Anolis sagrei: one gene and its partners. The protein of the gene in region 3 purifies or fractionates together with the protein of the main gene of each other region. This does not show direct contact. Links are inferred from orthologs where the notes say so. Each region holds a gene or a part of one and is shown on either strand. Other genes may lie near its edges.

Region 1 (7,230 bases), on a different chromosome or scaffold from region 3:
TATCTGAACAACAGGAGCATCAGCATTGCATCAGAGTACAAGCAACCAGTAGATTTTTGTCTATGCACCTACTTCAATGACAAGGGATCTGGGCATCTGCTTTACCATTGTAAAGAAACTAAGTTGATTACCCTAGGTAACAAATTTTGAAAAATGTTCTGTTCCTGGTTTGAAAGTGTTGTTCCTGTTTGATTGTACGGTGCTTACTTTTAAAGGAGCTGTTATACAGAAACTTCATGTTTGTGGCTGCCACAAATTACGTTGAATTGGTTGAGACTCTATGAGATATTTACTGAAAAACTAGAGCAAAATGTGCTGCAAGATGCAGTTTAATAAACTTTTTCCATATTTTATGAAAGAACTAATCAGGAATGACATTTATAACCCAGGAACAAAAATTGTGTTACTTAGTATTATAAAGGGAAGGCTGGTCTGAAACCCATTACCAGGTCTTGATTTCTATTTCTTTCTATACTCAAACCCTAGAGACAGATCAATAGGAATGTCACATCTATTATAATAATTGCTCAAGAATCCTTTATTTGAAATGCTTGGGACCAGAGGTGTTGGGGAATATTTGCACATATATTGTGAGATATCTTGGGTCTAAACACAAAATCCTCTTATGTTTCACATGCACAATGTTTTTTTAAAAAAAACAAAACATTGGACATGAAGCATGGTTTGTTTATATCAAGCCACGTGAAAGCAGAAGAGTTGCTATCACACCGGCTCACGCAGACAATTGGGGAACATTTTGGGGGTGAAGAGCATCCTGATTTCCTCCATCTGTTTCCATGGCGCCAGGCTTTGCAAAAACAAGAACCCAACAGTTTCCTGCCCCAGGCTTCCAATCTAAGGAAGACATGGCACAAAGGAAAAAGGGAAAGGCAGTGTGGGAGGGAGACGGGATGCTCTCTCTCACACTGTCAAATGAATAGTTCAACAGCTCACTGCTAGGGAACCATGGGAACTGTAGTTTGGCAAGGCCTTGAGACTGCTGGTGGCTTCTCAAACTACAAATCCCAGGATTCTACACAGATTGGGTTTATCTGCTCCCACAAACCTATCCCAGGTTGCTTCGGTTTAGATTTTTAAAAAATTGTAACAGCAGATTCTGAGGGCTCTTCCACACAGGCATGTAACACAGAATATCAAGGCAGAAATTTCCACAATATCTGCTTTGAACTGAGTTATCTGAGTCCACACTCAGATAATGTGGGATTTTCTGCCTTGATATTCTGGGATATAGGGCTGTGCGGAAGGCCCCTCAGTTAGCGGGAACCTGAGCAACCAGAATCCTCGAGCAACTGTCAATCAAGATGGGGGGGGGGGATCTATCAAGCAACCAGAGGTGACAGTTATGTGACATCCTCCACCACCACCACCACAATAAAATAACCTGGGATAAAGAGCAACCATGGTTACAGATCCTGGGATACAGGGCAGTGTAGACAGGGCCTCATATAATCCAATTCTTTGAGAATGTGGATTATATGGCAGTGTAGAAAGGGGCCCCTTCAACACAGCTGAATAAAATCCCACATTATCTGTTTTGCACTGGAATATATAACAGTGTGGACTCAGATAACCCAGTTAAAAGCGGATATTGTGGAATTTTCTGCCTTGATATTCTGGGGGGCCTTCCACACAGCCATATAACCTGGGATCTGATCCCAAGTTTTCTGCTTTAAACTGGATTATGAGTCTGCACTGCCAGATAATCTGGGATAAACAGAAAACCTGAGATCAGATCCTGGGGTAAAAGCCCTATCTGGCAGTGTGGGCTCAGATAATCCAGTTCAAAGCATAGCCTTAGGGATTATCTGCCTTGATATTCTGGGTTATACGGCTGCGTGGAAGGACCCAGTGTGATCTGGAAGTGTGGACTCGGAGAACCCATGGTCTTTCCACGCAGCCATATAACCCAGAATATCAAGGCAGAAAACGCCACAAAATCTGTGTGGAATTGGGTTATCTGAGGGCCCTTCCATACTGCCCTAAATCCCAGAATATCCAGGCAGGAAAGCCCACATTATCTGAGTGTGGACTCAGATAAACCAATTCAAAGTAGATATTGTAGGATTTTCTGCCTTGATATTCTGGGATATAGGGCTGTGCGGAAGGGCCCTCAGTCCACACTGCCATATATTCCAGGTCAAAGCAGATAATGTACGATTTTAAAAAGTGGCATGGAAGGGGCCCTGGAAGCGTTGCGAGCTCTCCCTTTTCTAAGTTCTTGTGGGTTTTTTCGGGCTATAGGGCCATGTTCTAGAGGCATTTCTCCTGACGTTTCGCCTGCATCTATGGCAAGCATCTTCAGAGGTAGTGAGGTCCTCACTACCTCTGAGGATGCTTGCCATAGATGCAGGCGAAACGTCAGGAGAAATGCCTCTAGAACATGGCCCTATAGCCCGAAAAAACCCACAAGAACCTAGTGATTCCAGCCATGAAAGCCTTCGACAATACATCTCCCTTTTCTCTTCGCACCATCGCTCTGACACCTACACTGTCGGATTAACGCGGTTCGAAACCAGCGGAACTGCCAAGGCGACAGAATCCCTCGGGCTGTTCGTTTCACCAAGTCCGGCGCCTTCCCTGGCAAAGGCTCGACAAACGACAACTCCCGGGAGCCCACAGCATTGAGCCGGGGCAAAGAGAGCGGCACGAGACCGCGTTAGGTCTGGAGTGTGGATGCCCCCTGAGAAGCCGCTCCAGACTCACCCTCGTCGGAGTCCCGTGCGCGTCCGCTCCGCTCGCCATCCTCTTCGTCGAGCGGGCTGTCTAGGTCCTCCTCCTCATAGCTCTCGGCGGCGGGGGCGGGGCCTGTCCCGGGGGGAAGCGCCGTGGTCGTAGAAACGGCTGCGGTGGGAGGAGGGGGCGGCCCCGGCGAGGGCAGGGCGGGGGAAACCAAGGCCGCGACGCTCATGGCCGCAGCGCGGAGAAAGCGGCGGAGAAAGCGGCGCAGAGCGCGCGCCCCCTCCCCTCCCCCTTCGAGACCCGCTCTTTTTCTCCTTCGCCTCACAGCGAGCGAAGGAGCAGCTCGGCTCCCTCGCGCAGGCGCACAAGCCGCTTCCGGATCTTTCCCCCGCCTCCTCGTCTTGCGCATGCGCTCCGTGAAGCCTTCGCGCGTCTTTACCCGCGCTCGTTGTCATCACTAGTTTTGGACCGCAGCGCTTCCCTTAGGCGGAAAGCACAGGTGCCGTCCATCTCTTAGTGCCTTGAACATAGACTCGACTCAGTCATGGACCCACACGCTTCGTGAAGTGTTTCCGCGTTCAGTTAGGGCGTACACACGGCCCTATATCTCAGAATATTAAGACAGGAAATCCCACATTATCTGAGTGTGGACTAAGATAACCCCGTTCAAAGCAGATATTGTGAGATTTTCTGCCTTGATATTCTGGAATATAGGGCTGTGTGGAAGTGACCCCCCCCCCCCCGATAAAAGATAGTTTATAATCAGGGAATTCATAGTTTTGCCAAGGACAGCAAGCTGGAATTGAGGTCGAACTCAGAGGCCCCCGCCTTCAAACTGATTTGAATGCAGCAGGGAGTTCCACAGTTCCTGACAACATGGACTTTCAAGATGAACCAAAGGACTGGGGCTCCAGTAACAGCTTCAATTGAGAAACCTTTTTCCTCCCTCCTAGTCCCCCCCCCCCCCGCTTCATTGTAACAATCCCCCCAATAAAAAGTATTATTTTCTCTAATGTTTCTCTCTCTGCAATGATACATTGTGTCCCTTTACTGACTCTAACACCAATTAATATGAACCCTCCTCTTCCCGAGCCGCGGAACTCCGCTGGCTCACCTGCGACACTCTTACAATGTACTGGGGAGCCCGAAACTGCGATCCTTCAAACCGCGGATACGGAAACCAGCTTGGCACTGGTGTCTGCAGGTTGACCGATCGACTCCAAATCAATGTCATCTTTTTCCTGGGTCAATTCTAAGACTAACTGCTATCTTACTTTTTGCTGAATGGACCCCTGCGCCCGGAGATCCACCTCTTTGCATGGAACCAGGCCCGTAGCCAGGATTTCGTTTCGGGGGGGGGGGGGGGGGTAAAAAATTTTCAGGGGGGTTTCGGGGGGGGGGGGGCTGAGTTTCGAGGGGGGGGCTGAGTCTGAGTGAAAGAGGGTCTAGACTAGCAAACCTTTTGTATCATTATCTGAATACCCCCATGCATATGGGATATATTGAGTATGGTGATCAGATCATGATATGAATAAACATAACAGTTTAAATAATGCACCAGTAAGGCCTTTTCGCGAACCACCATGAGAATTTGTCCCCCCCCCCCCCCCCCCCCCCCGCTACATGCCTGCATGGAAGGTTTATTTCCATGGCTCCACACAACCTGTTCTTCTTGTGCACGTTGACTTGGAAGCCTCTCAAACCCGGGGAGTCTCCTGTGGTCACTCCTTGGGACCCCCGACCACTGGCAGGCCAATCTCGCCACTTATGAATTGGACTTATGAATGAACCTCCTGTTTTTATTAATGGACTTTAGCTACTCGGTACCTTTATTAACTTGTATGAACTCTCATGAACTTTCTGAAACCTTTGAGAACTTTTATTAACTTCTTGCCAACTTTCATGAACTTTATGGACTTTGGGGTGACTGAGATGAATTCCCCCTTGACCCTGCATGCCTCCCCCTTTCTCATATGATCTCTGTATATGCCTCGTGCTGGAGGGGACGTGGTTTTAAAAAGGGAATTTTCATATATTTCCCCAATGCCCATATGTCATGATTTACTGCCATATTGGCCTATTTCTGCAGTAGGCCTTTGTTCACAGAAAATGCTGATTGTTTGAGAAATCAGTGCTCCAAAGAAGAAGTTACTATTCAAGGGTAACAACATATCCGGACAAAACCAGCTAGCTGTTTGCTAGATAGAACCCCCAAGTTTCCCAGTCGCTCTGAAGCCATGTTTGCAACAGACTAACAGATAAGATACAGTCATGGTCAGAGAACAATGGACTATAGTTATGTTATACTTGTGCCATTGTTAGGATCCCACGTGTGCTATAATGTCAATCAAAATCACAAACAACTAATGAACTGCATAGTTAACTTAGACCAATGAAATGATTTGTCTTTGGGAACCAATGAGATGATTGATTTCTATGTACCAATCAAACTGTTTTAATGAAAGTCATAAATAATCAATGCAACCAACTTTAGGTTGGACAAATCCCTTTATTGCATTTCTATATGCATGTTTGTCACTATTGCTTCAGCTGCACAATAAATAGCATTTTGCAGTTTTAAAGATTCAACTTTCGTGGTGTCCTTCCTCGCCCTCCTTGGGAAGGGGCAATCTGCTCTTGGATTTTGGATTTGTGGATTATCTTGATCGTTTTTGCCCCTACAGTGCCACCATCCATTATATGTGTGTATGTATAAAAGTTATGAAGCAAAGTGACCTTTTCATGAACCATGCCAGAAACTCATGGCTCTAGGGACTCCACAACTTCCTGAGCCAGTAATCCCCTAACAAAAGGACTTGACCAAAACAATTTGCATGGACCAATGGCCCCTCTCCAGGACTTCGGAGGGTCTCATTAACCAGACCATCCAGGAAGATGTGACCCATGGACACGTTAAAACATTCAACACAGAAGGCACCTATGTGTCACTGCCCATTGTGAAAACTCTCTCATCATCAAGTAAATATCACTGGATTATAAGACAATGGAACTATCCTTTGGGGCCAGACAAAAGATGATATTTCAAGATTCAGGACAATAGTCTGGGCTGAGGCTTGAGAGCTAAGCTATCGCTTTGGCCCTCTTATCAATACAGGTGCGGAAGAGGCCATTCATAATCTCATCACTTTACTCATTCATTCATTGTTTCCCTTCTGGCCCGCTTTCCTCTCCACTCATTGGCTGAGTGGCCGAAGCGGGGCTAGTGCTCTGATTGGACAGAACGCAGCCTCCCCGGCTGCTCCTCCCAGTCAGCTGATACTCCAACCACCAGGAGGTGGGCACGGGAGATTTGAATTTGACAGTTCTATAAATATTTTATTTCCTTGCCCAGTGAGCATGTCAGCTCCTCAGGCAGATAACTGCAGTCGTCATCCGTTCCAACTGGAATGAAATAAAAACTTCGGTGGCTTTCCTTCAACTTGGTGAGACTTTATTTGGGAAATTAAGGGAAAATCTTTCTTTGTGCTTGCTGTCTTGCCAGATGTTTTGGATCCCCCTTTTGGGTCTAGCTGGTCTCTGCCTTGGCAGGGCCTTCCAAATTCGTGTTCAACATCAGAATGATATAATAAGAGTTAAGTTTTGGCCAATCTGCAGAAGGACTAACAACCACAACAAGGACCATTCCCATGTTAAATTGTGTGTACATTTAATCAAGATTTATGCCCTATATTTTACATATTTATAACAAAAGGTAATTGCTATATTTACTGGTAACCCTGTCACAAAAGGCATTTGACCTTTGGCCTACCTAAGCAGACCCATGAATTAACAACTGTGCTAATTGTCCCCTATACCAGTCAATGACCTACAGACAAAGGATTCCAAGGCCTTTCTGTCTGAGGCTAGCAAAAGGGAATGCCAAGTAAATAATATTTTATAACCATGTCTTCCCTTATGAACTTCAGATGACAAAGGCCAATCTTTCCCCAATCCTGCATGCCCCCTTTTCCCTTTATGAACATTATCTGAGTGTGGAGTCAGATAATTCAGTTCAAAGCAGATATTGTGGGCTTTTCTGCCTTGATATTCCGGGATATAGGGCTGTATGGAAGAGCCCCCAGTTTAAAGTAGAAAACATGGGATCAGATTCTGGGATATAGGGCCTGTCTGGAAGGGTTATATGTTGAATTGGTTGAGACTAAATGATGAGATATTCATTGAAAAACTAGAGCAAAATGTGCTGCAGGATGCCATGTAAAAACCAACGTTTGGGCAGTTTATTCAACTTTTCCCATGTTTTTATGTTAGAATCAATTAGGATATGACCTTTATAATCCAGGAACAAAAACAGCTTTGAGTCCCCTTCAGGGGAGATAAAGCAGGGTATAAATAAATATAAAATGTGGAGGCAGCAACAAACTTTGTATTATTAGGTGTGAAGATGACTGCAGACGCAGACTGCAGCCAGAAAATCAGAAGATGTTTCCTTCTTGGGAAGAGAGCAATAACCAATCTCAATAAATTGGTTATGCGTAGAGACATCATACTGGCAATGAATCAATCTGCATA
Region 2 (7,586 bases), on a different chromosome or scaffold from region 3:
GGGGTTCAAAATGCTCTTTCACTGTAGGTGAACTCTAAATCCCAGCAACTACAATGGCCAAATGGCAAGGTCTATTTTCCGCAAACTCCTCCACATCTGGGCATATTGAGTATCCATGCCAAGTTTGATCCAGATCCATCACTGTTTGAGTCCACAATGCTCTCTGGATGGAGGCAAACTACAACTCCAAAACTCAAGGTCAATGCCCACCAAACCCTTCTAGTATTTTCTGTGGGTCATGGGAGTTCTGTGTGTCAAGTCTGGTTTAATTTCATCGTTGGTGGGGTTCAGAATACTCTTTGACTGTAGGTGAACTATAAATCCCAGCAACGACAACTCCCAAATGAAAAAATCAATCCTCTCCCACCCCACTAGTATTCAAATTTGGGTATATTGGATATTTGTGCCAAATTTGGTCCAGTGAATGAAAATACATCCTGCATATCAGATATTTACATGACGATTCATAACAATAGCAAAATGAGAGTTATGAAGTAGCAACGAAAATATGTTTATGGTTGGGGTTCACCACAACATGAGGAACTATATTCAGGGGTCGTGGCATTAGAAAGGCTGAGATAGATAGATAGATAGATAGATAGATATAGATAGATGGTCTGATAGATAAATATAGATAGATAGTCAGACAGATAGATATAGATAAATTGATGGTCTGATAGATAGTCAGATAGATAGATATAGATAGATAATCAGATAGACTGACAGATATAGATAAATTGATGATCTGATAGATCAGTGGTTCTCAACCTGGGGTCCCCAGATGTTTTTGGCCTTTAATTCCCAGAAATCCTAACAGCTGGTAAACTGGCTAGGATTTCTGGGAGTTGTAGGCCAAAAACATCTGGGGACCCCAGGTTGAGAACCACTGTGATAGATAGTCAGATAGATAGATAGATAGATAGATAGAGATAGATGGTCTGATAGATAGATAGTCAGATAGATAGATAGATAGATAGATATAGATAGTCAGATAGACGGATAGATATAGATAAATTGATGGTCTGATAGATAGATTGTCAGATAGATAGATAGATAGATAGATAGATAGATATAGATAAATTGATGGTCTGATAGATAGTCAGATATATATATATATATATATATATATATATATATATATATTGATGGTCTGATAGATAGATATAGATAGATGGTCTGATAGATAGATAGATAGATAGATAGATAGATAGATAGATATAGATAGATAGATAGATTGATGGTCTGATAGTCAGGTAGATAGATATAGATACTCAGATAGACGGATAGATATAGATAGATTGATGGTCTGATAGTCAGATAGATAAATGTAGATTTATTTATTTATTTATTTATTAGGCTTGTATACCGCCACCCCCAATTTGGCTCGGAGTGGTTTATAGCAGTAGATTAAAACAATACAACCAACCTCAAAATACAATAAAAACGAGAACAGACACAGTCCCGAGTTATTCACCCATTGAAAGCTTGTCGGAAAAGAAAGGTTTTACAGGCTTTCCGAAAAGCAAGTAGCTCTCGGATGGTTCGGGTTTCAACTGGCAAGGCCTTCCATAAATAAGGGGCCACAATCGAGAAGGGTCTCTGCCTAGCAGAGGACAGATGGTAAGTCCGGATGTTGGGGACTTCAAGCAAATTTTGGTCTTCGGACTGATGATGGTCTGATAGATAGATTGTCAGATAGATAGATAGATAGATAGAGATAGATCGATAGAGATAGATAGATAAGTCTGATAGATAGTATCTATGTATCTGATAGTATCTATGGTCTGATAGTCAGATAGGTATTTTTTTGTCAGATAGATAGATCGATAGAGATAGATAGATCGATATAGATAGATAGAGATAGATATAGTCTGATAGATAGTATCTATGTATCTGATAGTATCTATGGTCTGATAGTCAGATAGATTTTTTTTGTCAGATAGATAGATCGATAGAGATAGATAGATCGATATAGAGATAGATATAGTCTGATAGATAGTATCTATGTATCTGATAGTATCTATGGTCTGATAGATAGTCAGATAGATTTTTTTTTGTCAGATAGATAGGAGATAGATAGATCGATATAGAGATAGATATAGTCTGATAGATAGTATCTATGTATCTGATAGTATCTATGGTCTGATAGATAGTCAGATAGATTTTTTTTTTGTCAGATAGATAGATCGATAGAGATAGATAGATCGATATAGAGATAGATATAGTCTGATAGATAGTATCTATGTATCTGATAGTATCTATGGTCTGATAGATAGTCAGATAGATTTTTTTTTTGTCAGATAGATAGATCGATAGAGATAGATAGATAGAGATATAGTCTGATAGATAGTATCTATGGCCTGATAGTCAGATAGATTTTTTTTTGTCAGATAGATCAATATAGATAGATAGATAGATATAGTGATAGATAGTATCTGTGTATCTGATAGTATCTATGGTCTGATAGATAGTCAGATAATTTTTTTTTGTCGTGTCAGGAGCGACCTGAGAAACTGCAAGTCGCTTCTGGCGTGAGAGAATTGACTGTCTGCAAGGACGTTGCCCAGGGGATGATTTTGATGTTTTTATCATCCTTGTGGAAGGCTTCTCTCCTGTCCCCGCATGGGGAGCTGGAGCTGACAGAGGGAGCTCATCCGCCTCTCCCCGGATTCGAACCTGCGACCTGTCGGTCTTCAGTCAAATAGATAGATAGATAGATAGATAGAGATAGATGGTCTGAAAGATGGATTGATAGATAGATAGAGATAGAGATATATGTTCCATACATTCATTCTACCCAGTTTATTGGGCGTTTTGCAACCCCCCCAAAAGGGGGGCAAAAGGGGGAGAGGGGGTTAAAGGACCCCCTCCCCAATATTCGAGGATTGGGAGGGGCTTTTCTTCCCAACCCCCAACTTCTCCTCTCCCTCTCCTCCCCCCCTTCCCCCCCTCATCTTACTTACGTGGACAGGAAGCTTCTCCCCGGTGGGCCCCCCGTTTGCTGCTGTGGCTGCCCGGCCCCCCAAGCGCGGACCCGCTCGGCCGCCGCCCCCCGCCGCCATGTCCCTCGCTCCCTCCCTCCTTCCCTCCCTCCTTCCTTCCTTCTTTCCTTCCTCCGCCTTTTGCGTCACCGCGCTCGGGGAGGTGGGGCCAAAGCGGAACCTTCGCGCTTCGGGAAGAAGCACCCGCCCGGAAGGGAAAAAGGAACCGGACCGGAAGAGGGTACAGCGCAGAAAGAGCGGCCAAACAAATAGGCGCGCGGCTGAGGGGGGGGGGGGGGGGCATAGAGTTGCGGCGCAGAGCGGCCAAAGGAAGGGACCAGGAAGTGAAGGACACCGCTCTTCTCTCGAGCGAGGGAAAGACTTGACGTTTGTGATGAAATGCAGGATCAGGAGACCCAACCCTACTTTACTTGCTCCATCCATGTTCAACATCTACACAAATGGCCAGCCACTGCCAGAAGGGACAGAGAGTTTCATCTATGCTGATGATCGTGCCATCACCGCTCAAGCAGGGAGCTTTGAGATGGCAGAACAGAAGCTTTCCGAAGCTCTTACTGCCTATTACAGGGAAAACCAGCTGGACTACTGCAATGCGCTCTACGTGAGGCTGCCCTTGAAGACAGCTCGGAAGTTGCAACTGGTGCAACGATCAGCAGCAAGGATGTTAACGGGAGCCCCTTACAGAGAGAGGTCAACCCTCCTGTTCAATTTATTTATTTACTTTGCTTGTATACCGCAGTTTCTCAGCCCGTAGGCGACTCAACGCGGTTCACAACAAGAGCAAAAGACAATCCAACAACATACAATATTAAAACTATTAACAGTATAAAATATAAACTAATGACATCTCAATAACAACACATTAACGTCTCGTAACTAAAATCGTGATCCAATTCGTCATCCATAATTCCGTTTCCTATATTCATCGTGTTCATTGCACTATTTATCCGAACGCCTGTTCAAACAGCCAGGTTTTTAGTTTTCTTCAAAACACCATTAGCGAAGGGGCTGATCTAATGTCCATGGGAAGGGCGTTCCACAGCCGAGGGGCCACCACAGAGAAGGCCCTGTCCCTCGTCCCCGCCAGCCTTGCTTGTGATGCAGGCGGGATCAAGAGCAGGGCCTCCCCAGAAGATCTTAGTGTCCTGGTGGGTTCATAGGCAGAGATACGTTCGGATAGGTAACTTGGGCCAGAACCGTTTAGGGCTTTATAGGCCAACGCCAGCACTTTGAATTGAGCCCGGTTCAAGGAGCTCCACTGGCTATATTCCGAGCTCAATTTAAGGTGCAGGTGCTTACCTACAAAGCCCTGAACGGTTTGGGACCAGCTTACCTGCGTGACCACATTTCCATCTACGAACCCACACGCTCACTTCGGTCATCTGGAGAGGCCCTGCTCATGATCCCACCTGCGTCGCAAGCGCGCTTGGTGGGGATGCGGGACAGGGCCTTTTCCGTGGTGGCCCTCAGACTCTGGGTCCTCCCCAAAGACCTTAGACAGGCCCCCACACTGGCAGTCTTCAGAAAGAACTTGAAGACTTGGCTTTTCCGATGCACCTTCCCAGATTAGGAAATCTCCACTACCAAGTCCCATAAGCACCTTATCAGAACCAATGACTGCTGCACATCACACTTGCCCTAGAAGACTCATATACACCACCTGTCACATCAGCACTTTTAATTCTTGTACCCATTACTTTGGCCTGGCCCAGTTTTTATTGTGTTTTAGTGTATTGCTTTTGCCTGTTGTTTATCTGCTTTATCCTGTTTTTAATTGTTTGATTTGCCTAGTTTGTATTGCTATGTTGTGTGTTGAGGCCTCGGCCTGTGTAAGCCACATCGAATCCTTCGGGATTAGCGGGGTACAAATAAAGTTTAATAATAATAATAATAATAATAATAATAATAATCCCCAACCCATCTAAAACACAGACATGTGCTTTTCATCTCAAGAACAGAGAAGCATCCCGAGCTCTGAGGATCACCTGGGAAGGAATCCCACTGGAGCATTGCAGCGCACCCAAATACCTGGGAGTCACTCTGGACAGTGCTCTTACCTACAAAAAGCACTGCCTGAATATCAAGCAAAAAGTGGGTGCTAGAAACAATATCATACGAAAGCTGACTGGCACAACCTGGGGATCACAACCAGATACAGTGAAGACATCTGCCCTTGCGTTGTGCTACTCTGCTGCTGAGTACGCATGCCCAGTGTGGAACACATCTCACCACACTAAAACAGTGGATGTGGCTCTTAATGAGACATGCCGCATTATCACGGGGTGCCTGCGCCCTACACCACTGGAGAAATTACACTGCTTAGCTGGTATTGCGCCACCTGACATTTGCCGGGAAGTAGCAGCCAATAGTGAAAGGACCAAGGTAGTGACATCTCCAGCTCATCCCTTGTTTGGGTATCAGCCAGCACGTCAACGACTTAAATCTAGAAATAGTTTTCTAAGATCTACAGAGACGCTCGCTGGAACACCTCAGCAAGCGGGAGTCCAAAAGTGGCAGGCTCAAACCCAGAACCTCAAGCAATGGCTGATACCAAATGAGAGACCCCCCCCCTGGGCACAAAGAAGACTGGGCGATTTGGAAGGCACTGAACAGACTGCGCTCTGGCACCACGAGATGCAGAGCCAACCTTCAGAAATGGGGCTACAAAGTGGAATCCTCGACATGCAAGTGTGGAGAAGAGCAAACTACAGACCACTTGCTGCAATGCAACCTGAGCCCTGCCACATGCACAATGGAGGACCTTCTTGCGGCAACACCAGAAGCACTCCAAGTGGCCAGATACTGGTCAAAGGACATTTAATCAACTACCAAACTCACATATTTTGTATTTTGTCTGTTTGTTTGCTTTGTTCTGTTAGAAATGTAATATAATCGACTGGTTGCCCTGACACTACAAATAAATACTGAGAAAGGCCGACACAAGCCGTATACAAGGCCGCCATCTAGTGTCTCATTGCAGAAAAGCAGGCCCTTTATTCACTCCCTATTAAAAGATGCCCTCTAATGGCTATGTGGCAGCTATTTCACCTCTGCCCACTGAAAGCCAAAACCAAGGTCACAACATCTGTTATAGAACTCCAATATGCCGATGATAACGTAGTCTGTGCGCATTCAGAAGAAAACCTACATGCCTCTCTAAATACCTTTGCAGAAGCATATGGGAAGCTCAGGCTCTCACTGAACACTGAGAAAACCAAAGTGATCTTCCAGCAAAAGGCACCGACCAATCCCTCTGCAATGCCAGAAATACAGCTTAATGGTGCAACATTCTTCAACTTATTTAGGAATATTGGGCTTCTTCGTCTTGCCAGATTTCTTCAGCCTTCTTTGTCCACCAGATGTTCTTGACTTCTCTTGTCCTTTGGACCTCAGCTTTTGCACTGGCATAGATCTTTTTCTTAGCAACAGAGTTGACATCTCTCTGCCATATTTTTAGCATAGTACAATATCAGTATTATATATTACTATACCATTATATTATACCTGAGGTCGTCAAACAGATGAAAGTGGAGCCAAGGTTCGGATCATGAGAAATGAAATTTATTCAGAAGAGACACCGACACAACGAGCTACAAGGGTTATGGTCAATTATGAGGTTGTTTGTGAACCGTTGCCAAACCTGACCTCGAACCCATAGACTTATAATGGGACAGAAGCAACATTGGGGTTGGGCTAAACCTGCCTTCAAAGAAACCAGCATTAAGGCAGTTGTTTGCAAAACATGGCATGGACTTCACAAAGAGAGAAAGCCATTGCTTTGGGGGGAAACGAAACACAATAACACGCAAACCTGGGATGAAATGGCAACCTGGGATTGGCTCGAACGAAGAAGAGGCACCAACATGGATCTCTCTCTCTCTCCCTCCCCATCTATAGAGGAGAAGGAGCTAATACTCAGGCTAATACTTGCAAGGCTCCGGCCTCCTTCCCGGGCAACAGCTACTCCTAAGACGGACAACACTGAACGGGGCTTTTCCCCAGACCTCCAAGCACCAAACGCACTCCGGAATGGGACTTATTTTTGGCCACATGCTACTGCGTCCGTAGCTGGTAATCTAGACAAAAAAGACAAAACGGATGAGTGAGCAAAGCTAGACCCTCCTGAAGGAAACGTGAAAATAATAATAATAATAATAATAATAATAATAATAATAAATCATTCTAATTATATTATATTATTATATAATAAAAATTACAAGATATGTTCCACTGTGCTTTTGATTAGACGATTTCCCCAGAAAAATGCTGGCTCCCAGTTATGACCCCAATTTACAGTCCCTGCACTTTACTACTGCCCCCCACTTAGAGATATAGTGTTCCACCTTATATTACCCATTACCACCATTTTTGGTTATCTGAGATAAAACACATAAAGCTGTTCAACAGTGGAACTCTCTGCCTCAGAATCCAGTGGAAGCTCCTTCCCTGGAGGCTTTGAAACAGAGGCTGGATGGCCATCTGTCGGAAGGGATTTGATTGTGCTTTTCCTTTTTTCTGTTGTCAACGCACCTCCGTTCTGCGTGATGTATCGCACCCACGGCAAGGCCTGGTAGCCGCTCTTCT
Region 3 (8,070 bases):
GCCTGTGAAGTCAAACATCATAGTCGGCAGTTTCACTCCACATGAATGGTGTGTGAAAAACATCTTATATATGAGGGTTGAATAAAAAGTAATGCCTCCACCTTCATAACTCCTCAACAGATGGCAGTACTGGTATGTGGCAGGTACTGTCTTGTTCAGTAGACTCTCCTCTACAGTTCCATTTTGGTGGGAAGCCTTAGCATTGAACGGTTGTGTTGTTAAAGTACAAAGTATGGAACCCTGCACAGACTGTCGGTCAATGCGACTTAAGCAACATGCAGTCATTGAATTCTTGACAGCAGAAGGTGTCACCTCAACATCTTTAAACGTACTCACCCAACGACGCACAGTACTCACATCAACACAGTCACCATAAACAGCTTGCATTCTCTGATGAATCTCCTTTGGGGTGACACCTTCTGCTGTCAAGAATTCAATGACTTAACCTTGCTTAAGTCGCATTGACTGACCATCTGAATTCTTGACAGCAGGTGGTGTCACCTCAACATCTTTAAACGTACTCGCCCAACGACGCACAGTTCTCACATCAACACAATCACCATAAACAACTTGCATTCTCTGATGAATCTCCTTTGGGGTGACACCTTCTGCTGTCAAGAATTCAATGACTGCACGTTGCTTAAGTTGCATTGACCGATCGTCTGTGCAGGGTTCCATACTTCGCACTTTAACAACACAACTGTTCAATGCTAAGGCCAAAATGGAACTGTAGAGGGGAGTCTACTGAACAAGCCAGTACCTGCCGCATACCAGTACTGCCATCTGTTGAGGAGTTACGAAGGTGGAGGCATTATTTTTCATTCAACCCTCGTATGTCTCTTTCCAGTGTTGTACATTTATGTAGTATTATCCCAACCTTTGAAGCATGAGATTGATCTTCGATAGACCTGTCAATTTGACAACTTCAGGAGTGCACTTCGTTGTGGACGTTTGTTTTCTCCCTTTCATGTGCAACTTTGCAAATAAAAGAAAATAACCGCCAGACAGTTTTGCGCATTTGGAACGTAAAGAAACTGCTGTCTTTTCTAAGGAGGGTGAAGACTTAGTTGTGGTTCTCCACAGTTTAGCACACCCTTTTGGCATCAGTATTAATAAGCCTTTGTAGATGTGAGAAAGTGAATTTTAAGATGACCAAAGCATTCTGGTTAATGACAGTTAATTCTGTATTCAGGAACAGTTTCTCTCAAACATTCTTTAACATAACTGCTATACTAATATAGTATTTTAATAGAATTTAAATGCGGATTAGTGTGTGAACAGTTCACAAATCTCAGGCTAACCAGAATGAGGTTATCTCGGTGCTGGAAAACTGTATTTCATCTTCTGCAGCCCATATATTCAGAGGTAAATTCCAATGGAGTTACATGGAAATGACTTCTGAATAAAAAAGTTTGGGCCTGGGCTGTTAATCGGGGTTTGTTTTTGTTTTGGTTTAGTGTGTTTGAGAAATGCTGCCGTTATATGTATTTTGCTTTCTCTTCCTCTCATCAAAAGTAAATATCTTATTAAGGAAATGTTGTATGTTACAGTTGAAATTGTACAAGTAGATGAGGTATAGTTTATTAAAGAACCCCTCCCTCCCCATCCCTTAAGTAACCCTAGAGTATGTTGCTGGTTTTATGTTTTACATGATTAGTAAGTTAATCAAGACTGGATAATGTTAAGGAAGTGGATATCAGTAAAAGTATTGTTATTTCAAGCACTTTAGCATACATATCACAAACTGATGTGCATTGGATTTTCTTTTCCCTTTTCCCGGGGTTTGGATTACAATTAAATGCAGCTTTTCATGCAATGGTCTTTACAAATAAAACTGTGAGAATAATACAGTCTGCTCAACAGTGCTTTATTGAAGTCAATAGACAAAACATATACACACATACACCCGGGGGGGGGGGGGGGGGCTGGTGGCCCAGCAAGTGAAAACACTGAGCTGCTGAATTTGCAAGTTGAATTCAGGGAGCAGGGTGAGCTCCCGCTGTTACACCCAGCTTCCACCAACCTAGCAGTTCGAAAACATGCAAATGTGAGTAGATCAATAGGAAGGCAATGGCGCTCCATGCAGTCATGCTGGACACATGACCTAGGTGGTGTCTATAGACAACGCTGGCACTTCAGCTTAGAAATGGAGATGAGAACCACCCCCTGGGATCAGACACAACTAGACTTAATGTCAGGGGAAGCCTTTACATTTACCTTTTATACACATGGGAGGTAACGTAAGACCTAAACTGGCAACCCTCTCTGGCAAGTTAAGATACAAAAACCTATTGCAAACTGCATAACGTATATAAGATCATTTCTATACAAAGCTAATAGAAAACATCCTGCTGGTGTGTTCTGCCTGTTTATAAATTATCAAGCTGCTTAGCAGTAATATCAGCCTATCCAAAGGTAATGTGTTTATATACTATGCAATGAAGGAAGTACTTCTGTGTGTGCCTTTCATGACACTGATAGAAAGTAAAGTAAGCTGTCACCACGTTTCTTCAAGTGGTCATCTGTGAAATTTGCACTTTTCCCCCTGTTCCTTGTGCAAATTTCAGAGACCATACTGAATAAAATAAGGTTGCTTGTTGGATCTTCTTGCAGTCCAAGGCACTCTCAGAACTTTCCTCCAACACCACAGCTCAAAAGCATCGATCTTCCTTCGCTCAGCCTTCCCTAGGTGTTGGAGGAAAGTTCTGAGAGTGCCTTGGACTGCGAGAAGATCCAACCAGTCCATCCTCCAGGAAATAAAGCCCGGCTACTCATTGGAGGGAAGGATACTAGAGACAAAGTTGAAGTACGTTGGCCACATCATGAGGAGACAGCAAAGCCTAGAGAAGACAATTATGCTGGGGAAAGTGGAAGGCAAAAGGAAGAGGGGCCGACCAAGGGCAAGATGGATGGATGGCATCCTTGAAGTGACCGGACTGACCTTGAAGGAGCTGGGGGTGGTGACGGCCGACAGGGAGCTCTGGCGTGGGCTGGTCCATGAGGTCACGAAGAGTCAGAGACGACTGAACGAATGAACAACAACAGTGCCGGAGGGAGCATTTCAGACCTGTGAAATGGCAAGGGGCTACAAGCAGCATAACTCTACATATCAGCATAATGCTCAGCACAATAAAGGTTTAAATAACTCTCCCCCCCACCCCCCAAAAATAATGTTGAGCCATGGTGGAACCCATAAACCTCTGGGTAAGGAGGGCCAGCTGTAATACATTCAGAAAGGATGCAAGTTGGAGCCAGTTCAGAGAAGACAAAACACGAGGAAAGGTTGAAGAAATGGATGTGTTCATCCTGGTAAAGAGATGATAAAGGGTGACCAGACTGTACTGTTTAATTACAGAAAGGAGGGAGCACATCTGACCAAGTCTAAGGGTTTCATGCATTTGAAGGATAATTTGACTGAATATTTCCTATTGACCATGACTTGAAGTCACACAACAACAACAAACAATGGTTTGGTAATGGAGCTGACTGCCTAGAATGAAGGTGCAGTTTTCTGGATATCATCAAAAACAGGATACAGAGCTACTTCACCTGGAAACCCTGCATTGAGCAGATGGCTGGACTCAGTGATCAATAAAGACACTTCCAACTACAATTTTGATGATTCTATAGAATCATTTATTTTGGAGTGGTATTTTGTTTTACACTGTATTGTGAACCATCTTGGGTCTCATGTTAGTCCAGACTGGGCATAAATAACTGCACTTGTGCTGCTGCCTCCTTTTCGTGTGCCTCAATGGGTGCTCTTGCACTGTATATTAATAACATACAACACACACACACGCACGCACACACACACATATATATTAAAAATACACACAACATTCTGTGGGACTTTTGAATCCAAACTGACAAAGCTGCACGGTGATTAAATGCTAATCAAGGTGGGATTCCCACAGGAAGGAAGCAGCCAGGCTTTGAAACTGCAAAGTGATTAAATGCTAATCAAGATGTGATTTCCCCCAGGCAGGAAGCAGCCAGGCTTTGAATCTGCAAGGCGATTAAATACTAATCAAGGTGGGATTCCCCCAGGCAGGAAGCAACCAGGCTTTGAAGCTGCAAGGCAATTAAATGCTAATCAAAGTGGGATCCCCCCAGGAAGGATGCAGCCAGGCTTTGAAGCTGCAAGGTGATTAAATACTAATCAAGGTGGGATTCCCCCAGGCAGGAAGCAGCCAGGCTTTGAAGCTGCAAGGTGATTAAATACTAATCAAGGTGGGGTTCATCCCGGCAGGAAGCAACCAGGCTTTGAAGCTGCAAGGCAATTAAATGCTAATCAATGTGGGATTCCCCCAGGCAGGAAGCAGCCAGGCTTTGAACCTGCAAGGCGATTAAATGCTGATCAAGGTGGGATTCCCCCAGGCAAGAAGCAGCCAGGCTTTGAAGCTGCAAGGCGATTAAATGCTAATCAATGTGGGATTCTCCCAGGAAGGATGCAGCCAGGCTTTGAAGCTGCAAGGTGATTAAATACTAATCAAGGTGGGATTCCCCCAGGCAGGAAGCAGCCAGGCTTTGAAGCTGCAAGGCGATTAAATGCTAATCAAGGTGGGACTCCCCCAGGAAGGAAGCAGCCAGGCTTTGAAGCTGCAAGGCGATTAAATGCTAATGAAGATGTCCAATTGCAACATTCACACTTGCTTCAAGCAGGCAATACTTTTTTTTCTCCCATTTTGGGACATTCCAGAGAGATATAACCCTCTCTTGCCTAATTTCCAACAAACCTCACAACCTCTGGGGATGCCTGCCATAGATGTGGGCGAAACATCAGGAGAGAATGCTTCTGGAGCATAGCCAAACAGCCCGGAAAACTCACTTTGAATTCCATTCTCATTCAAGAATGTAACCCATTCTATTTTTGTGACGTCACCCCTTACGTCACAGCAACCACGCCCCCTCATCCTCTGCCTCCCGTCGCTCCCCCGGCCCCCTCTCGTCTTAAAGAGACATGCAACACGCCGAGAAGGCGCTCCATTGAGGAGCCAGCCCGTGGGAATGGCGCATGCGCAGGCGGGGCTGGCGGTTAAGCCAATGAGCCCGGCGCTTGCTCTTGGCATCCCAGCAGCGAGACAAACGAGGGAGGCAGAAAGAGAGAGAGAGAGAGGCGAGGAAGGCTTTCTGCACAAAAGAGTGACTTGTGGGAGGTAAGAGTTGGAAAAGTTTGGGGAAAACCTCCAAACTCCTTTGGAGAGAACTACGATGTGAGGATAAGTTGGAAAGTGATTGGAGGCGTGATTGAACCGGAGTTGGGCTTGGAGCGGGAAGGCATTGTTGCAGGTCGGGGGCGCCACATGGCCGGGGACGAGGAAGGAGTGTCTCTGCAGAGGGAGGGAAGGCAAGGCAGGCAAGGCAGAGTGCCTGGCCCTGGAGTCCTTCCTTCCTTCCTCCTCTCTCTTTGGTCTCAGAAGGGAGGGAAAGAGTGCTCTTTGTTGACCCAGGTGACCCTCAAAGGCTGCCTACCTGTTTGCAGCCAAGCCCTGCCCCTCAATCAAGGCAAGGAAGACTTCCCTTGCTTTTGGGGAATCCCGGAAGTCCCATTTCGAACGTTCAGTCCACCAACGTTCTATTATGGTCCCAACGTTCCACTCTCCACTGTTTGGCACCTGTAGATGGGGAAAGGGAAGCTGCCATGGCTGACTCAAGGGGGGGAAGTGGGAGGAGGAGGAGGAGGCTGGGGCCTTGGAGAGGAATTCATACTTACTTAACTAAGTAATAATAATAATAATAAACTTTATTTATACCCTGCCACCATCTCCTCAAAGGGGAGGCTAATATGAGACCCAAGTCCAAAAATAATACAGCAAAGTTAAACACAACATAACAGAAAAATCACATCACAGCAAAAGCTCCCATGGCTGTATCAATGGGGGAAAGTGGGAGGAGGAGGCTGGGGCCTTGAGAAATAATTAATCATTACTTAATTAAGTAATAATAATAATAAACTCTATTTATACTTCACCAAATAATACAGCAAAGTTAAACACAAAATTACAGAAAAATCACATCACAACGAAAGCTGCCATGGCTGTATCAATGGGGGAAAGTGGGAGAAGGAGGCTGGGGCCTTGAGAAATAATTAATCATTACTTAATTAAGTAATAATAATAATAAACTCTATTTATACTTCACCAAATAATACAGCAAAGTTAAACACAAAATAACAGAAAAATCACATCACAACAAAAGCTGCCATGGCTGTATCAATGGGGGAAAGTGGGAGGGGGAGGCTGGGGTCTTGAAGAGTAATTAACACTTACTTACTTAATTAAGTAATAATAATAATAAATGGAAGTGAGAGGAGGAGGCTGGGACCTTGAAGAGTAATTAATCATTACTTAATTAAGTAATAGTAATAATAATAATAAATTTTATTTATACCCCACCACCATCTCTCCACAGGGGACTCAGGGAGGCCAAAAGTAATGCAGCAAAGTTAAACACAAAATAACAGAAAAATCACATCACAACCAAAGCTACCATGGCTGTATCAATAGGGGAAAGTAGGAGGAGGAGGCTGGGGCCTTGAATAATAATTAATAATTAATTAAGTAATAATAATAATAAACTTTATGTATACCCCGCCACCATCTCTCCAAAGGAGGGGCTGCGGCCTTGAAGAGTAATTAATACTTACTTAATTAAGTAATAATAATAATAAATTTTATTTATACCCTGCCACCAACTCTCCAAAGGGAACTCAGGGAGGCTAATATGAGGCCAAAAATAATACAGGAAAGTTAAACACAAAATAACAGAAAAATTACATCACAACAAAAGCTGCCATGGCTGTATCAATGGGAGAAAGTGGGAGGAGGAGGCTGGGGCCTTCAAGAATAATTAATAATTACTTAATTAAGTAATAATAATAATATCGATGCTTAATAATAATAATAATAAGATCGATGCTTTTGAGCTGTGGTGCTGGAGGAAAGTGCTGAGAGTGCCTTGGACTGCGAGAAGATCCAACCAGTCCATCCTCCAGGAAATAAAATCCGACTGCTCACTGGAGGGAAGGATACTAGAGACAAAGCTGAAGTACTTTGGCCCCATCATGAGGAGACAGCAAAGCCTAGAGAAGACAATTATGCTGGGGAAAGTGGAAGGCAAAAGGAAGAGGGGCCGACCAAGGGCAAGATGGATGGATGGCATCCTTGAAGTGACTGGACTGACCTTGAAGGAGCTGGGGGTGGTGACGGCCGACAGGGAGCTCTGGCGTGGGCTGGTCCATGAGGTCACAAAGAGTCAGAGACGATTGAACGAATGAACAACAACAACTATAATAAATGGAAGTGAGAGGAGGAGGCTAGGATCTTGAAGAATAATTAGTAATTACTTAACTAAGTAATAATAATAATAATAATAAACTTTATTTATACCCCGCCACCATCTCTCCAAAAGGGACTCAGGGAGGCTAACATGAGGCCAAACCCAAAAATAATACACAACAAAAGCTGCCATGGCTGTATCAATGGGGGAAAGTGGGAGAAGGAGGCTGGGGCCTTGAAGAGTAATTAATTCATAGAATCAGAGAGTTAGAAGAGACTTCTTGGACCATCCAGTCCAACCCCCTGTTAAGAAACAGGAAAATTGCATTCAAAGCACTCCCAACAGATGGCCATCCAGCCTCTGTTTAAAAACCTGCAAAGAAGGAGCTTCCACCACACTCCAGGGCAGAGAGTTCCACTGCTGAACGGCTCTCACAGTCAGGAAGTTCTTCCTCATGTTCAGATGGAATCTACTTAATTAATTACTTAATTAAGTAATTAAAAGTAAGACCTTGAAGAGTATTTATTTATTTATTTACAACAGTTCTATTCCGCCCTTCTCACCCTGCTGGGAACTCAGGGCCAGGACTCAGGGTGGATGACTATGCACATATACATGGCAAACATTCAATGCCATTTAGATATACAACATAGAATAACCAAAAATAACAAAGATAGTGGACCTGATGGGATCCCTGCTGATGTCTTTAGAGAGGTAGGACCTGAGCTGACACCACAACTCCACCAGCTGTAGACAAACATATATAGACAGAATAACATTCCGGCTTCA
Region 4 (7,354 bases), on a different chromosome or scaffold from region 3:
AGGGTCCCAGCTATCATACTTTTGCCGTTTTGGCTATGTTGTGTAACATCTGACAGTGGGCAGACATGTATACTATGTTCCTAAATCAGAATATTTTATTAGGCTCCATCACAGCTAAATATACAACATATTTTTCAATATTACTAATTTATTTATTTAGTGTTTATATTCCGCCCTTCTCATTCCAAAGGGGACTAAGAGTGGATCGTAGAACACATATATGGCAAACATTCAATGCAGTTATACACTGACAAGACAGACAACTGTACATAGAATACAGTTTTGGCCTTCAACTCCCAGAAATCCTAACAGTTGGTAAACTGGATGGGATTTCTGGGAGCTGTAGGCCAAAACACATGGGGACCTACAGGCTGGGAACCACTAACATAGATAGAGGTATATATCTTCTGCATCTGTGCTTGGTTCTGCCACCAGGGTGGGGGTGCTGTTGCTCCACTTTTCCCTGTGGAAGAGCTTTTTTGCCCATCTCTAGCATCTCTATGCCTCGAAATTATTTCTGATCCTAAGATGAACTTATCATGAACCTTCCTTAGCAAGATTTGTTCTGTGAAAGTTTGTCTTTGCCCTCTTATGAGATTCAGAGTGTGTGACTTGCACACCCCAAGTGGGTTTCCATGTCTGAGTTACATTTGAGTATCCAGAGTCACAGTCCAATGCTCAAACCACTACACCATGTTGGCTTTCATGAGTAGCTATTACTTGATGTGTTGCCAAAGAATTTCATGGCCGGAATCACTGGGTTGCTGTGAGTTTTCCAGGCTGTATGGCCATGTTCCATACATTTAGAATATTATAATGTAATACAGTATAATACTACTACTAATAATATGATATTATAATTATATATTTTATATTACATGTAATATTACTAATAATATTACAATATAATTGTATAGTACAATATCGTGATGTATAGTGCTGATATTGTACTGTGCTAATGGTATAATGTATTGTATGTACGTATCTATCTTGTAAGCCGCTCTGAGTCCCCTTCGGGGTGAGAAGGGCAGAATATAAATGTCGCAAATAAATAAATAAATGTTCCAGAAGCATTCTGTCCTGACGTTTCATGTACATCAATGGCAGGCATCCTCAAAGGTTGTAAGGTCTGCTGGAAACTAGGGAAGTGGGGTTTATATATCTGTGGGATGTCCAGGGTGGGAGAAAGAACTCTTGTCTGTTTGAGGCAAGAGCAAATGTAGCTATTGGCCACTTTGATTAGCATTGAATGGCCTTCAAAGCTTGCCTGGTTGCTGCCTGGGGGAATGCTTTGTCTGGAGGTGTTAACTGGCTCCAATTTATTCTTGTCTGGAATTCTCCTGTTTTCTGAGTGTTGTTCTTTATTTACTGCCCTTAGAGTTTTTTTAATACTGGTAAATCAGATTTCCTTCATTTTCATGGTTTCCTCCTTTCTGTTGCAACTGTCCACATGCTTGTGGATTTCAATGGCTTTCAATGACATTCTGGAACATGGCCAGACAGCCCAGAAAACTCACAGCAACTCAGCGATTATTCGATTTATCTCCCCCCAAAAATACTTAAGGCAGTTAAGAAACGACAGGCGCTGCAACTGATCAGTCTCAATGGCCACATAGTCATCATTCCTATGCAAAGGAATTAATGAAATTTGGCAGCACTTTAACTGTTATGACTCAATGCTGTGGAATCCTGGGAGTTGTAGTTTGTGGCATTCTGGGAGTTGTAGTTTGGTGAGAAACGGACACTCTTTGGCAGAGAGCAAAGGAATTAATAAATTTTGGCACCACTTTAAGAGCTAAGGCTCAATGCTGTGGAATCCTGGGAGTTGTAGTTCGTGGCATTCTGGGAGTTGTAGTTTGTGGAATCCTGGGAGTTGTAGTTTGGTGAGAAACGGACATTCTTTGGCAGAGTTGGCTAAAGACCCTGCAAAACTACAACTCCCGTGATTATGTAGCATTGAACCGTGGCAATTAAGGTGGTATCAAACTGCAATAATTCTACAATAGAGATGCACCGAAGGGCTCTTTCCACCCCCCATTCTCCATTCCAACGCAGACGGAACTCCCAACGATCGTGGGGAGCCTCTACACTGAATAATTAATGCGGTTTGACCCCGCTTGAGCTGCCACGGCTCGGTGCAGAGAAGGCTAAAGACCCCCATCATTCCGAGGCACTAAATCAGGGCAGCTCAAGTGTTGGCGAACTGCATTAACTGGACAGTGCAGACGCCCCTCTTGCTGATCCCGCTAATCCCACCTTCGTTGCCCAGGATCAGCTGCTGTCCTCACATTTCGGCCCCGTCTAACTTTCTTCTCTGGCGGCAGCTGCGATCAGGAGGCTTTGGGTGCCAAATCCGGCCGCAAGAGCGAAGGCATCGAGCAGGGGCGTCTCCGGAGCTCTGGATCTCGGCGCAAGCCCCGCCCATTCGAGCCTATGCTAGCCCAGCCCCCACTCCCGCGGCGACCAATGGGAAGCAAGCCTCTCCTCCCGCCTAGCCAATCCAGCGCAGGGGCGAACACAGCCTACCAAGCAACAGGCCCCGCCCACGGGCTAATGTGTAAACCCCGCCCCTCCTCCAATGGCAAGTCGACTTCTCTCTACATCTGGCCAATCCAACACAGAATGGAGAAGGCCCTCCCAGCCAATGAGGAAGCCTGTAAACAGCCAATGAGGAGGCGGGCGATGGCTCGTTGTCCCGCCTCCCTTCTCCTCCCTGATCACTATGTGAAACAGACGCGCAAGGCCGGGGACCCGGATGTTGGGCGAGGATAAAAAAGCGACCGCGAACGCACTCTGAAGCAATCGAGGCCTCGAAGAGGAGGTGCGCGCCACTCCGGCTTGTCTTCTCCAGCGCTGGCTGGCGGGCGCCTCTCTACGGAGCCCTGCCTCCGAAGCGCGTCCCTCCCCCGGCCAGTTACCTGCAGCCGGAGTTGCGGCGGAATCTCCCTCACGAAAGCCCCCAGCGCCGCTTTCGGGGCTGACACCGCGCGGGGGCTCAGTCCGGGAGTGTTGCTTCCGCTGCCGCAGCGACGCACCCCTCCCCGCTTCTCGCTGATTGGCTCCCGGCTAGTTCCGCCCACTGTGGCGGGAGGCGGCGATTGGTCAGAACGCTGGTCGCGAAGGGGCTCCTGGGAGTTGGAGTTCGAGATCTGAGCCTGGATTAGGGTGATGTCGCGAGACGCTAGTTGGAGCAGAAAGAGTGCTATTGGTCCCTCGGAAGGGGGCGGGACGCTTGTGTGTTCTCTCCGCCTACCGAGGCCCTGATTGGTTGGCTTCTTTGTGAATGGCTTTGGAGGGAGAAGCAGTTTCTCTGCTTCATATAGAGATGGCGGGAAAACAGACTGGGAGCAGTAAGAGAGCATTGATTTATTTCCAGCATTTCTACCCCATCCTTCTCAACCCGCGAAGGAGGACTCAGGGCGGCTTACATTTTTTTTTAAATTTTATTATTACTATTGTATAATACATAGAAACATTCCATCTTTGAAAATAACATTCAAAATACCAGTTTTTTCCCCAATCCCGCCACCAGCACACCCCCCCCCCCCCCGGGAACAAATAGATACTTTAACTGTGTTTATTACAATTGTTCAATCATGAGAATAGTTTTGTTCAACACCGTATATTTATCTTTCCCCTTTATTCTATATATGAGACCCTTCCATTTTGCTTTCCATGTCTTTTTGCTTTGACCCGTCATATAGTAACTTTTCCTTTCGCTAATATAATCTTGAAGAAGGTAATCTGCTAAATATTTGTACCAGGTTTTTGTATCCCATTTCTTGTGGTCTTTCCAGCCCAGGGCCACTGAGGCTTTAATTCCCTCTATCATATGTTTTATTATTTCCTCACTTTCCTTATATTCCTCTTTATTTTCGAATTTCTGAGTGAAAAATTGGGCCTTATTCCATTCTATCTTGATCCCTAATAGCTCCTCCATTTCTTTCCTGATTATTTCTTGGAACTTTTGGATTTTTTCACATTCCCACCACATGTGGGCATATGTTCCTATTTTACCACAGTTGTGCCAACATAATTTTGGGCACGTTTTTGTGATATGCGCCAGTTGCACAGGAGTTCTGTACCATTTTGTCAATATTTTTCGTTGCATTTCTTTAATCTTTAGGTGTTTTATTTTATTGATTGAATTAATCCAATTGTCTATTTCTCTCTCACTGCAACTTAATTCCTCCTTCCAGACTTCTATTAGGGTAGATTTTGTGTTGTATTGTATTTCGGTGATTGTGTTATATATAAATCCCATGATTCCTTTCTCCCTCTCTACTTTCCATTTTATTATTTTGTCGAGATTTGTTTCTGAGGTTTCCTTATTCTTCAATTCTATTAGCTTTTTAGACAGCCCTCCCCATTGTAACCAATTTCCATGCCCGCATTTATCTTTTATTTCCTCCCATTGAATTACAGTCCCGTCTGGTTTTAGTAAGTCCTCAATCTTTGTTATTCCGTTTTGTTCCAGTTTCTTTAGAATGTTGCGATATAGCTGGGGTTTTCTGTTGTCTAAGGAACCTATTGGGAGCTTGTCTATTTTATTTACTGGGAGTTTATTTTGCCATTTTCCCCAACAAGTCATTGTTAATGACAAGGGGCCTCCTTTTATGTTTTTTAGTTCTTTCCCCCCAATTTTCCCCATAATGCAAGATCCATATTCCCACCCGTTTGTTAATTTCTCTAACCTAACCCATCTTTTGGGCTCACCGATATCTAATTCAAGTAACCTAACCAATTGACAGGCTTCGTAATAGTTCTGGAGGCAAGGTGCTCCCCAACCTCCATTTTCTTGTGGAGTATAAAAAATTGAATTTGCAATTCTGGTTTTACTAGAGCCTACTACCCATGTTTTAATTGAGTTATCCCATTTCTTTATTATTTTGGGAGGAATGCTACATGGAAGGCATTGAAATAAGTACAAAAATTTGGGCAGTATCATCATTTTATATGTCTTCACCCTTGTTGTTATATCCCAATTCCATTTTTTCCAATTGTTAATCTGTTTGCTTATTTTCTTCCATAGTTGGTTATAATTTATCTGAATTATGTTATTTAGATTTTTAGGTATATACACTCCTAAGTATTTTAACTTCTTTTCCCCCAGTTTGACCCCTAGAATAGATTGGACTTCTTTCACCTCCTTCCAGTTCATGTTTTTAGGTAGGATTTCTGATTTTTCAATATTAATTGTTAAGCCTGAGATCTTTTCAAATTTTTTAATTTCTTTCGTTACTTCAATTACCGAATTCTCCATTGAACCTATGAGGACTACTGCGTCGTCTGCATACAAATTTATTTTTATTTCTTCTTTATCTATCTTATATCCTTTTATGTTTTTGTTTGATCTGATTAGATTAGCAAAAGGTTCTATCGCTAGTGCAAAGAGAAGGGGGGAAAGAGGGCAACCTTGTTTGGTTCCGCTTTTGATTTCAATAGTTCTAGAATTGGATCCGTTTACTATCACTTCAGCTAGATTATCTTTATACAGTTCCTTAATTACTCCACATATCTTTTTTCCTAAGTTACTCTCCTCGCATAAGTTAGCCAAATAATTATGATTTATTGTATCGAATGCTTTGTAAACATCTAATTTTATTAGGAGTAATTTTGTTTTCTCTCTAGTTGCATGGTCAATTATATTTATGATATTTCTAATTGGGTCCGCTATCTTTCTTTTTATAGTAAAGCCGTATTGATCTTCCTCAATTAGAGTGGGTATTACCTCTTTCAGCCTATTAGCTATTATTTTTGTGAAAATTTTGTAGTCCACGTTGCATAAAGTAATAGGCCTATATGAGTTGGGGTCAGTCCCCTCTTTGTTTGGTTTTAAAATTGTTGTAATTTCGGATTTTTTCCATGTTTCTGGAATTAGTTTATTTTCCATGATTTCATTATATAGTATTAGTAAATTAGGGGTGACTTCCTTTTGAAAAATTTTATAGAAATTTGTAGTGAGCCCATCGGGGCCTGGTGAAGAGTTTATTTTTAATTTCTTTATTACCTCCTCTATTTCATTGCTAGTGATGATCCTGTCCAGTGTTGCTTGGGATAGAGGGTCTAATTTTTTTTGGAGTAGTCCTTCCGATTTCACTGTATCCTTACTTGTGTACAGCTTTTCGTAGTAATTGGCCATTATTTCCTTTAGGTCCTCCTCACTTGTTTTTATTTGGCCCATCTCGTCTTTCAAATTAAAGATTTTTGTTTTCCCTTGTTTCTTTTTTAGGAAATTTGCTAATTTCTTTGTGTTATTTATGGAGTTTGTCTGAAAGTCGTTCTTGACCCAGATATATTTCTTTGTACTTTCAATTTCCTCCAGGTTTTCTAGTTGTTTATTTAACTCTATCCATCTCTTTTTCCCCCCCACTGTTTGGTCTTTTTGAAATGATTGGAACGCTTCTTCTACTTCAGACCTCAATTTCCTTAATCTTTCATTTTCTCTTTTATTTATTCCCTTCTCGATTGTTATACACTTTCCTCTAATTACTGCCTTGAAAGCATCCCAAACTATGTTTTCTTTCATTCCAGGGGTTCTGTTTAAGTTAAAATACTGAATAATTTGTTCATTTATCTCTTTCCTGTCTGACTCTTTATAAGCAACTTTTGGGTTAAATCTCCATTTTTTCACTTTGTTTATGGTATAATTTCCTAATTTTAAGTAGAGAGGTGCATGGTCTCCTGGCCAATAATTGCCCACCAAAAGTTCTTTTATTGGCATTGTGTTGTTGATACCCACCAGGAAATAGTCTATGGTAGAAAATGTTGAGTGCCTATGTGAGTAGTGTGTTGGGGTATCTGCTCGTTCCCCTATTCTATTGTTGGCCTCTATTAAGTTCCACTTACTGAAATTTATCTTACAATTTGTACCTGAATTTCCAGTTCTATTACTCTTCGTTTTTTTGTACAATTGTAAATTTAGGTCCCCACCGACTATTATATCTCCTATTGCATGCTTTTCTATTTTTGAGCAAGTTTTGTTTATAAATTTTACTTGTTTCTGATTTGGGGCATAGACACTTGCTATTGATACCTGAGTATTGTTAATTTTACCTATTATCATTATGAATCTACCTTCAGTATCTTTAATGACCTTTTCCAACACAAAGGTTTTCCAACACAAAGGCTTACATTTGATACAGTTTGATGCCATTAAATATCTAATCAGATCTAATGTGCCAAATAGTCTCTGTTGTATGTTTTTATGTTGAATGTTTTTATATTGTGTATTAAATTATATTTTAAATTGTAAGTCGCTCGGAGCACCTTGGTGGAGAGCGACTAATTAAGAAATAAAGTGAAGTGAAGTCAATATAACAAGAATTAAAACAATAAATAGGATTTTAATTAA

The links.
Region 1: the proteins of SINHCAF (region 3) and SUDS3 purify together in Homo sapiens (affinity purification with mass spectrometry; 3 studies listed by BioGRID and IntAct, counting the BioPlex papers as one, with this or other methods). This does not show direct contact. The link is inferred for Anolis sagrei from reciprocal best matches to the Homo sapiens genes SINHCAF and SUDS3.
Region 2: the proteins of SINHCAF (region 3) and SIN3B purify together in Homo sapiens (affinity purification with mass spectrometry; 3 studies listed by BioGRID and IntAct, counting the BioPlex papers as one, with this or other methods). This does not show direct contact. The link is inferred for Anolis sagrei from reciprocal best matches to the Homo sapiens genes SINHCAF and SIN3B.
Region 4: the proteins of SINHCAF (region 3) and SAP130 purify together in Homo sapiens (affinity purification with mass spectrometry; 3 studies listed by BioGRID and IntAct, counting the BioPlex papers as one, with this or other methods). This does not show direct contact. The link is inferred for Anolis sagrei from reciprocal best matches to the Homo sapiens genes SINHCAF and SAP130.

What each region holds. Positions count from the first base shown.
Region 1 is NC_090034.1:45,536,642-45,543,871, reverse strand, and holds the start of SUDS3 (sin3 histone deacetylase corepressor complex component SDS3), read right to left. Parts: upstream 3,086-7,230; 5' UTR 2,930-3,085; coding exon 2,725-2,929; intron 4-2,724; coding exon 1-3.
Region 2 is NC_090034.1:59,382,380-59,389,965, forward strand, and holds the start of SIN3B (paired amphipathic helix protein Sin3b), read right to left. Parts: upstream 3,078-7,586; 5' UTR 3,063-3,077; coding exon 2,964-3,062; intron 1-2,963. Other genes in the region: AP1M1 (AP-1 complex subunit mu-1), read right to left, coding at 7,056-7,078, 7,533-7,586.
Region 3 is NC_090025.1:176,835,393-176,843,462, forward strand, and holds the start of SINHCAF (SIN3-HDAC complex-associated factor), read left to right. Parts: upstream 1-4,991; 5' UTR 4,992-5,159; intron 5,160-8,070. UniProt on the Homo sapiens protein: Subunit of the Sin3 deacetylase complex (Sin3/HDAC), this subunit is important for the repression of genes encoding components of the TGF-beta signaling pathway.
Region 4 is NC_090023.1:220,772,402-220,779,755, reverse strand, and holds the start of SAP130 (histone deacetylase complex subunit SAP130), read right to left. Parts: upstream 3,067-7,354; 5' UTR 2,919-3,066; intron 2,410-2,918; exon of another isoform or gene 2,257-2,409; intron 1-2,256. UniProt on the Homo sapiens protein: Acts as a transcriptional repressor. May function in the assembly and/or enzymatic activity of the mSin3A corepressor complex or in mediating interactions between the complex and other regulatory complexes.